2 linked regions of the Alligator mississippiensis genome follow. The protein of the gene in region 2 purifies or fractionates together with the protein of the main gene of each other region. This does not show direct contact. Links are inferred from orthologs where the notes say so. Each region holds a gene or a part of one and is shown on either strand. Other genes may lie near its edges.

Region 1 (3,743 bases), on a different chromosome or scaffold from region 2:
GACAAAATGGTTGGTGGGACGTAAGGTGCAAAAGGCTGAGAACCGCTGCTGTAGAGGAATTTGAGTCTAAAACCACACATGCACTTTAAGTGTGCACAGGCACTTTAAGGAGCCTTGTGCTGGGGGTGCCCCTTGCTGCTGCCCGCATTGCCCATGCTAGTGGTCTAAAACCACACAGGCAATCCTCTGCCTCTTAAGTCAAAATATAATTCAGAACCAACTTTCTCATAAGAAACAATGTTATAAATGGGAGAGAGGATATTGGGCCTTGGTTCAGGAACCAATTTTCACCAAAAATACCCCAGAATTTTGTACTCGGATCAATTATAGATGAGTCATATAGCTACATTAATGTATTTATATTGTAAATAGCAATCATATCGATTTGGAAGGACTTTGGTGACTTTGCTGGACTTTTTGAAGGGCTCTTGGCTGCAGGTTTTCTGGAGTCTCGTCTGCTTTGTTAAAGAAAACATCCAAGGAGGTTTGGACAGATGTTCTCCAGGGAGACGGGCGATGCAGCGAAGTTGTTCCCTGGCGCCGTGTCGCATCGCATCAAGAGTTGTGAAGTCGAAACTGACGTCAGAAAGTTGAAGCAAGGTGTCCGTTTATGAACGCTGTAAGTGCAAAACGTAAGTGTGGACGTTACAGCAGAGGGTATTGAGCGCTCGGATTTGAGGGCGAGGGTCAAACTCCAAGCAGGGCATCCCAGTGGCAGCACTTCACCAAGGCGGAGAGGAGCGAATCTGAGGGTGGAAATGGATGTTGCCTTTGTGCTGCCCTACTTTTCTTTTATGGCCGCACAAAAGCCAAGCAAGTGGTCGTCTATGCCCTTCCTACCACCAATGGGGTTGTGATGAAGGTGGTATCTGCTCGTGCCACTCCAGTTGCAGACCCCTGTTTGCTTTCCAGCACTTGATAAGTGAGGACAGGGCATGTTCCAGGTCCCACCGCATGCTCCTAGGGCGTGAAGGGCCTGATCCTGGGTGGGAGGGCCTGTTTTCCCTCCGTGCTATGGGTGTTGCTTACAGATGCTCTTCTCCCCTGGGTGTTTTCCACCCCCAGAGCCTGGGTTTCCACTGGAGATGTGGCTGTAGCACCAGTAGGGATTTGGAAACTGGTCTGTGCTGGGCCCCAGGCCATGCTGCAGCCCTGCAGGGCCAGGTCCTGGGGTAGCAGTTCCACCTGGCGCCGCTAGAGGCCGCTCCCCCTCTCCACGGGGAGAATGGGCCGTTCCATTAGCTAGAGGCCGCTGCCCCTTCCTCCATGGGGAGAATGGGCTGCTCCCTTCCTCCATGGGGACAATGGGCAATTCCATTAGCTAGAGGCCGCTACCCCACTCCCCCCGCGCGTGGTTCGGCCCGTATGACACAGCACAATGGCCCCAAACGCCGCGGCGCGGGGCATGCCGGGCCGGCCTCGCCTCGAGTGGCAGCGCCGCGAACCAATGGGGGGCCGAGCCGCGCGGGGCGCGTCCAACAGGGCGGCGGCGAGGGCGGGCTTCCGGTGCGGGAGCCGGAAGAGCAGCGCAGCCGCCAGCTCTGAGGTGAAGGTGCCGGGCGGCTCCCCGCAACATGTCGTCGGGCGCGCTGTTCCCCAGCCTGGTGCCGGGCTCCCGCGGCTCGTCCAGCAAGTACCTGGTGGAGTTCCGCGCGGGGAAGATGTCGTTGAAGGGCAGCACCGTCACCCCGGACAAGCGGAAAGGCCTCGTCTACATCCAGCAGACCGACGACTCCCTCATCCACTTCTGCTGGAAGGACCGCACCTCCGGCAGCGTCGAAGACGTGGGCGCCCGGGGGGGGGGAAATAAATCAATAAAGTGACAAAACAGGCCCGAATAAGCCTCAAACGGGGCGGGGCTGCCACGGGGGGCACAAATAGGGGCGGGTCTTACCCCCCCGGGACAATTGTTTGTGGGCACACCAACATTTAGTTACCCCCCCCTCCCCCCCCAAATGCTTTTGCAGGACTTGATTATTTTCCCTGACGACTGCGAGTTCAAGCGGGTCCCGCAGTGCACGACCGGCCGCGTCTACGTGCTCAAGTTCAAGGCGGGCTCCAAGCGGCTCTTCTTCTGGATGCAGGTTTGCGCGGCGGCGCCGGCCACGATCGGGGCGGGGGAGGGGGGGGGGCCGGGCCTGTCTCGACGACCCCTTCCCTTTCTTCCAGGAGCCGAAGACGGACAAAGACGAAGAGCACTGCCGCAAAGTGAACGAGTACCTGAACAACCCCCCCATGCCCGGGGCGCTGGGCGGCAACGCGAGCGGGGGCCACGAGCTCTCGGCGCTGGGGGGTAAGGCCCGTTCTCCGCCCCTCGGGTTGGGAAGGTTTATTTTTAAGTACAAACTCGCAGCTTTCTAAGAGCAAACCCCTGGCGAGTTTGGAGGGGGGGGAGACGCGAGCGCCGCTGGACGTGCTGCCGCCCCGCTCGCTTGCGGGACGACGTCCGGAGTCCCGCCTCCGAAACCAAGCGGCGTTCGTCTCTTACGAGCGTCTTGAATTAGCAAACGCTTGCAAAACGCTGTTTTTTCCCCATGCGAAATGATGCCGGTTAACCTCCAGCTGTTGGAGCGAGTGGGGGGGGGCTGTGAAAACTGTGTGAATACATTGTTTCAGGCTGTTTTTGTTTTTAGGTGAGGGTGGCTTGCAAAGCCTTCTGGGAAACATGAGCCATAACCAGCTCATGCAGCTGATCGGACCAACGGGCTTAGGAGGACTTGGTAAAAAGCTTTCGTATCTTTACGCTTTCGTATCTTTACGCCGATGTGGTGCTTTCTCCTGCTGGGTTACGTCTTACCTGACGCTGAATATTTTCGCGTGACTTTGAATAGCACTTCCCTTGTGCGAGGCGGCAAGGTCCCGATGCTGTCGCTGCCTCAGAAACAGGACGAGGAGACGAGAAACGAAGCAGCCGCGAGCTGTGCTCGGCACGTGCTTCCCTGGGGATCGATGCACAAGGGAGCTTTGTTTCTGGTCCTTGCCCCACTGACTGTTTCACTAATTGTGTCCTGTAAGCGTTCAGCAGAGCCCAGCTTCCCCCTCCCAGGCGTATGCCCCGATCCCCTGGCTGTGGCACACTTTTTCTCTGACTGAACACTGAATTATTAATGCAAGATGGAAGCATTTGAACGGGAGGGATTGAGAGCGTGTTTGGCCCAGAATAGTTTAGGGCCTGAATAGGGCCCTCTCTCCTGGCAGGCCAGCGATGTAGGTTTGAATCCTCTTCTGTCAAGGATGGAGTTTAAACCCTGGTGAGCAGTTGAGTCCCTTGAGTTATGCGAGGTTAGAGGTGACTTTGGCATCTTCTCTGAGGGCCCAGAGGAGATCTCTGAGATTCCTTATTTCTTACATTGGTTCCTTATTTGACATTGGTCTCTTCTTTCCCTGGCCTTTGTTTTTAGTGTAGAATAGCTTGGGTTGAAGCACGGTGCTCGTGTCCCTCAGTGTCAGGGCCTGATGTGCTAATTAACTTCCTGCGGGGAGAGGCAAGGGGCTTCTGCAGGTGGTGAGCATCTGGTTTTGGCATGGCTCTCAGCCCCTGCTAGCATAAGGACTGCCAGCCTGAAGTGTGGGATTTTGTGCTCTCGTATCTGGTTTGCACATCTCCCTCGGGGTACTTCTTCACTGCCACCCTTACCTGAACTGCCCAGCTGAGGTGGTCCCAGTGTAGTGAAAAGTGGTGCTGGCCTTGTTAGTTTTACTTTGTTGCTGTGGGATCAGTGTGATCAGGGACCAGGGGAGGT
Region 2 (3,743 bases):
TAGTAGGGGTGCACCAATAAAAACTTTTTTGGCCGATACCATATTGGCCAATACTGATCCAATTGCTGATATGTAGTCCAGTAGCTTAGAGAGCAGCATCTGGCCGGTAAGTCTACTGGAGGGAAGAGGCATGGGGGAGGGAAGGAGTGTGGCAGCTTGAGGCCCCCACAGTGAGGGAGAGAATGGGACCAGGGCAGGCATTGGCCAGCTAGGGCAGGGTGGGGTGGGAGATTGTGCTGCAGGCAGCTCATCCAGGGGGCAAAGGGGGCTCCCCACCTTTGTGCACACCCCTGGGGGAATGCCACAAAGGGACACGTGTCCCCCAGATTTGAGCATGGGGCGAGGACAGGCTGTCCGCTGCAGGCTTGGGGCTGGGGCCTGCACCAACCTGTTCCTGATGGGGGTACTGGGCCGGGGCTGTGCTCGGGGTGGGCAGCGCTGGGAGGGGGGCTACAGCCACGCTAAAATTCACCATAGCCCCCCCCCCCCCCATAATAAAGCAAAGGATCTTTAATGCCTCTGTTCTTAAATCAAAAAATTGAAAGTAGTGCTCCACTTTGACCACACAGTTTTGGGTGTTATTCCTAATGTGAAAACCAGATTTAAGTAATATTTGACATATCAGACAAAGTGTAAACATCCAACATGACAGCTTTTCACAAGTTTAGCTGCTATTTAATTTTCAGAAAAAGCTGAAGGGTCCAGTGATTCATTCCCATTCACAAAAAATACCTTCTGGAGAAAATATAGTAGTTCTGGAATCATATCTTCGAGACTGTTTAAAGAAAAAAACAAAGCAAAAACAACTTACTTTTTCTGTTCTATTGCCACAAGAAGAAATTTTATACTAGTCATCTTTTCAATCACATGTAGAAGCCATCCAGTGACCCCACTCTCTTATTTACAAGAGACAGCAAGCAGCACAGCAGGCAATTTTGTTGCCATTAGAACCTTTCATTGGTGGTCAAGGAGCAAGTATTTAATGCAGGGGTGGACAACTATTTCAGGCAGAGGGCCGCTTAATGAGCTTTGGTGAGCTGTTGAGGACCACATGGATAGCCCTGGCCCCTGACAGTTGCCCTGCCCCCTGATCGCCACCTTGGGACCAGAAGTCCCACCCCCTAACCCTTGTCACTGGAAGTCCCTCCCATTGCTCCCCCACCCCCCATACTCCTTTTGGGAGGGGGTTGCCACCTTAGAACCAGAAAAAAAACCAAAGCATACACTAAAAGTCCAACACCTACTATAACATATTTTAATTTCATTACAAAAAATATTTTGGTTATGATTTGTTTGCATACTGTATATAGAGGTGACCGCACATATTTGTAGTCTTGTATATTGTGGGGGGGTGGTTGGGGATGTGCGTGTGCGGTAGGGGGGTTGTGACTGTGTGGGGGGCAATAGGGTACGTTGGGGGGTTGTGTATATGTGGACAGTTGTGGGGGCAGGGTGTGGGTGTGTGGCATTTGTGAAGTGCGAGGGAAGGTGGGGAGATATGGGACCCCCCCCCACGCTTCCTTTAGGGTGTGGCAGCAGCAGGCGGGGGCACTCATGCCGTCAGGGCGCAGCCTCCACTGGGCAGTCTCTATCCCCGGCACTCCCTGCCGCGCACATGCAGCCCCTGCACTCATACGGCATGGGAGGGAAGCCCCATGGGCCCAGCCCTAATGTCCATGAGGGTGGGAGCAAGGCACAATAGGATATGTTGTTTTTTTTGGGGGGGGGCAGGTATACACATGGGCACCTCACTCACATCCTCATAGGCGGAAGGGCTAGGCAGTGCACAACTTGTGGGTGGGCGCTGTGGGCTAAATGAAAGTGCTGGGCAGCCACAGGCTGTATTTTACTCGCCCCTAATTGAATGCATATTTACCTCAATACACTTTTCCCTTACTCCTGGTCTTTCTTGTGAAGTTTGAGCCCAACCCTGCAATATTTCTGTGCACGTTTTTCCAGATAAACTTAAACGTTACTACTGGCAAGAGCGGAGCCTCCATTTCCCACTGATTATCTGTTATCTGATTTAGCTGTTGAAGAGTTTAACCAATTAAGTGAACAAGGGACTAAAGAGCTGAGCCGTCAGGTATTAACTCACCATGTTGCTGGGAAGTTTACGTTAGGCTGCAAATGAAAATGAAAGTTGTCAGGTGACAACAAGATACCCAGGGCACGCCGAGGACGCTGGAGGCATTTATTTAACCAGGACGCTTGCACTACAGCACGGGTCCCCAAACCGGGTGACATCCCGCCGTAAAAGCGAGGCACCCACCCCCTCCCGCCCCCGCCCCCAGCAGGGCAGCAGCACGGGCCCCGGGGGCTCCCGCCGGCCCTGGGCCGCGCCGAGTCGAGCCCGGCTCCTCGAGGCGGCAGTGCACAGTCATCCCCCACCCCCCGCGCTAAGCCCGGGGCAGCCCCGCAGCCCCCGCCGAGCCTGGACACCCGCCCCCCTCGGGGGCCCGGACCCCACCCCGCCCCGCCCCCACCCCGCGGGCGCCGCCAGCACTCACCGCGGGGCTCCAGGGGCTGCGGGGGACCGGTCAGCCGACAGCACTCCACACCGGCTTCAGCCAAAGATGGCCGCCGCGCATGCGCGCTGGCTCTGCCCGGCCGGAACCGAAGAGGCGGGACCTGGATGTGACGTTGAGCCCCGCCCGGCCGCGGGCCGCAGGTAGAATCGCGCTCACAGCACCCCCCCGGCCGCGGCTGCCTCGGCCCAGCTTCCCGCCCCGACGCGGTCAACGCCTGGGAGCGTCTGTGCGCCCCGGCCTGCTCGGCTCGAGAGCGCAGGGTGGACGGCTACAGACATACTGTGAGCATAGGACCCCCTGGGGCTATTACACATTAGGAAACCCCCTAGGGGCTCCGGGTCCAAAATAGAGGACACGGGGTTGGGGGGGGGCAGTGACATGCCAGTGCCCTGCCCCTGCCCCTCACTCCCAAACCGCAGCCCCCTGCCCCCACCCCTTGCTGGTACCCCTCTCCTGACCCACAGCCCCTGGCACTGCCAGTGCCCTGCACATCCAACCCACAGTGACCCATCCCCCTCCCAGCCCTGCTGGTACCCCTCACTCTTGACCCGCAGACCCCTGCCCCCCCAGCCCTGCTGCCCAAGCAGCTCCTGTGTTGCATGCACACCGGCTCTCTCACACACCTCTTTCTCACTCTCTCTGGTTGCTGGAGCCCGCACTGGGAGTATGTGATCCCCAGCAGCCACTGGCACTGCCCACTGCTCCCAACCCCAAACAGCCACCCCAGGAGAGCAGAAAACCCTGACATTTGCTCTTAATTTAAAAACCCACCTGGATGCAGCATAGGGGTCCAAAAAAAAAGACATGTTCAGGAAAACCCGGATGTATAGCTTCTGTCATAACCTACGTTTAATAACTGCAGCCCAGTCCCAGCACTGCAAGTTGCAGGTTTCCTTACATCCCTGTGTATCTCCTCAGTGGAAATATGCAAGCTAGGCCTGGGCAGCACTGGCATAGGCATCTGCAGTTTCAAACCAGATCTTCTCAACCACTTCTTGGCCCACCTCAAACAGTTGGACTAAGTGCTTCCATCCCACTCGGGCTGTGATCATCAAGTATTCCTGATTTTCAGGATATAACTGCAAAGTGTGAGCCGCTACTACCAGCGATTGAGAGAACCTACCGCTCACCAAAAGGAAGAGGGCACCTCTCTCCTCTGGCGTCAATGGCACGATGCTTTCAAACCCTGCAAGCACATGTCCTCCAACGCTG

Evidence for each region.
Region 1: the proteins of PSMA4 (region 2) and ADRM1 fractionate together in Homo sapiens (co-fractionation; 3 studies listed by BioGRID, with this or other methods). This does not show direct contact. The link is inferred for Alligator mississippiensis from reciprocal best matches to the Homo sapiens genes PSMA4 and ADRM1.

Annotation. Positions count from the first base shown.
Region 1 is NC_081832.1:5,778,473-5,782,215, reverse strand, and holds the start of ADRM1 (proteasomal ubiquitin receptor ADRM1), read left to right. Parts: upstream 1-1,509; 5' UTR 1,510-1,574; coding exon 1,575-1,784; intron 1,785-1,967; coding exon 1,968-2,084; intron 2,085-2,169; coding exon 2,170-2,293; intron 2,294-2,633; coding exon 2,634-2,720; intron 2,721-3,743. UniProt on the Homo sapiens protein: Component of the 26S proteasome, a multiprotein complex involved in the ATP-dependent degradation of ubiquitinated proteins.
Region 2 is NC_081834.1:30,788,670-30,792,412, forward strand, and holds the start of PSMA4 (proteasome subunit alpha type-4), read right to left. Parts: upstream 2,661-3,743; 5' UTR 2,511-2,660; intron 2,125-2,510; 5' UTR 2,102-2,124; coding exon 2,099-2,101; intron 776-2,098; coding exon 733-775; intron 1-732. Other genes in the region: HYKK (hydroxylysine kinase), read right to left, coding at 3,464-3,743. UniProt on the Homo sapiens protein: Component of the 20S core proteasome complex involved in the proteolytic degradation of most intracellular proteins. This complex plays numerous essential roles within the cell by associating with different regulatory particles.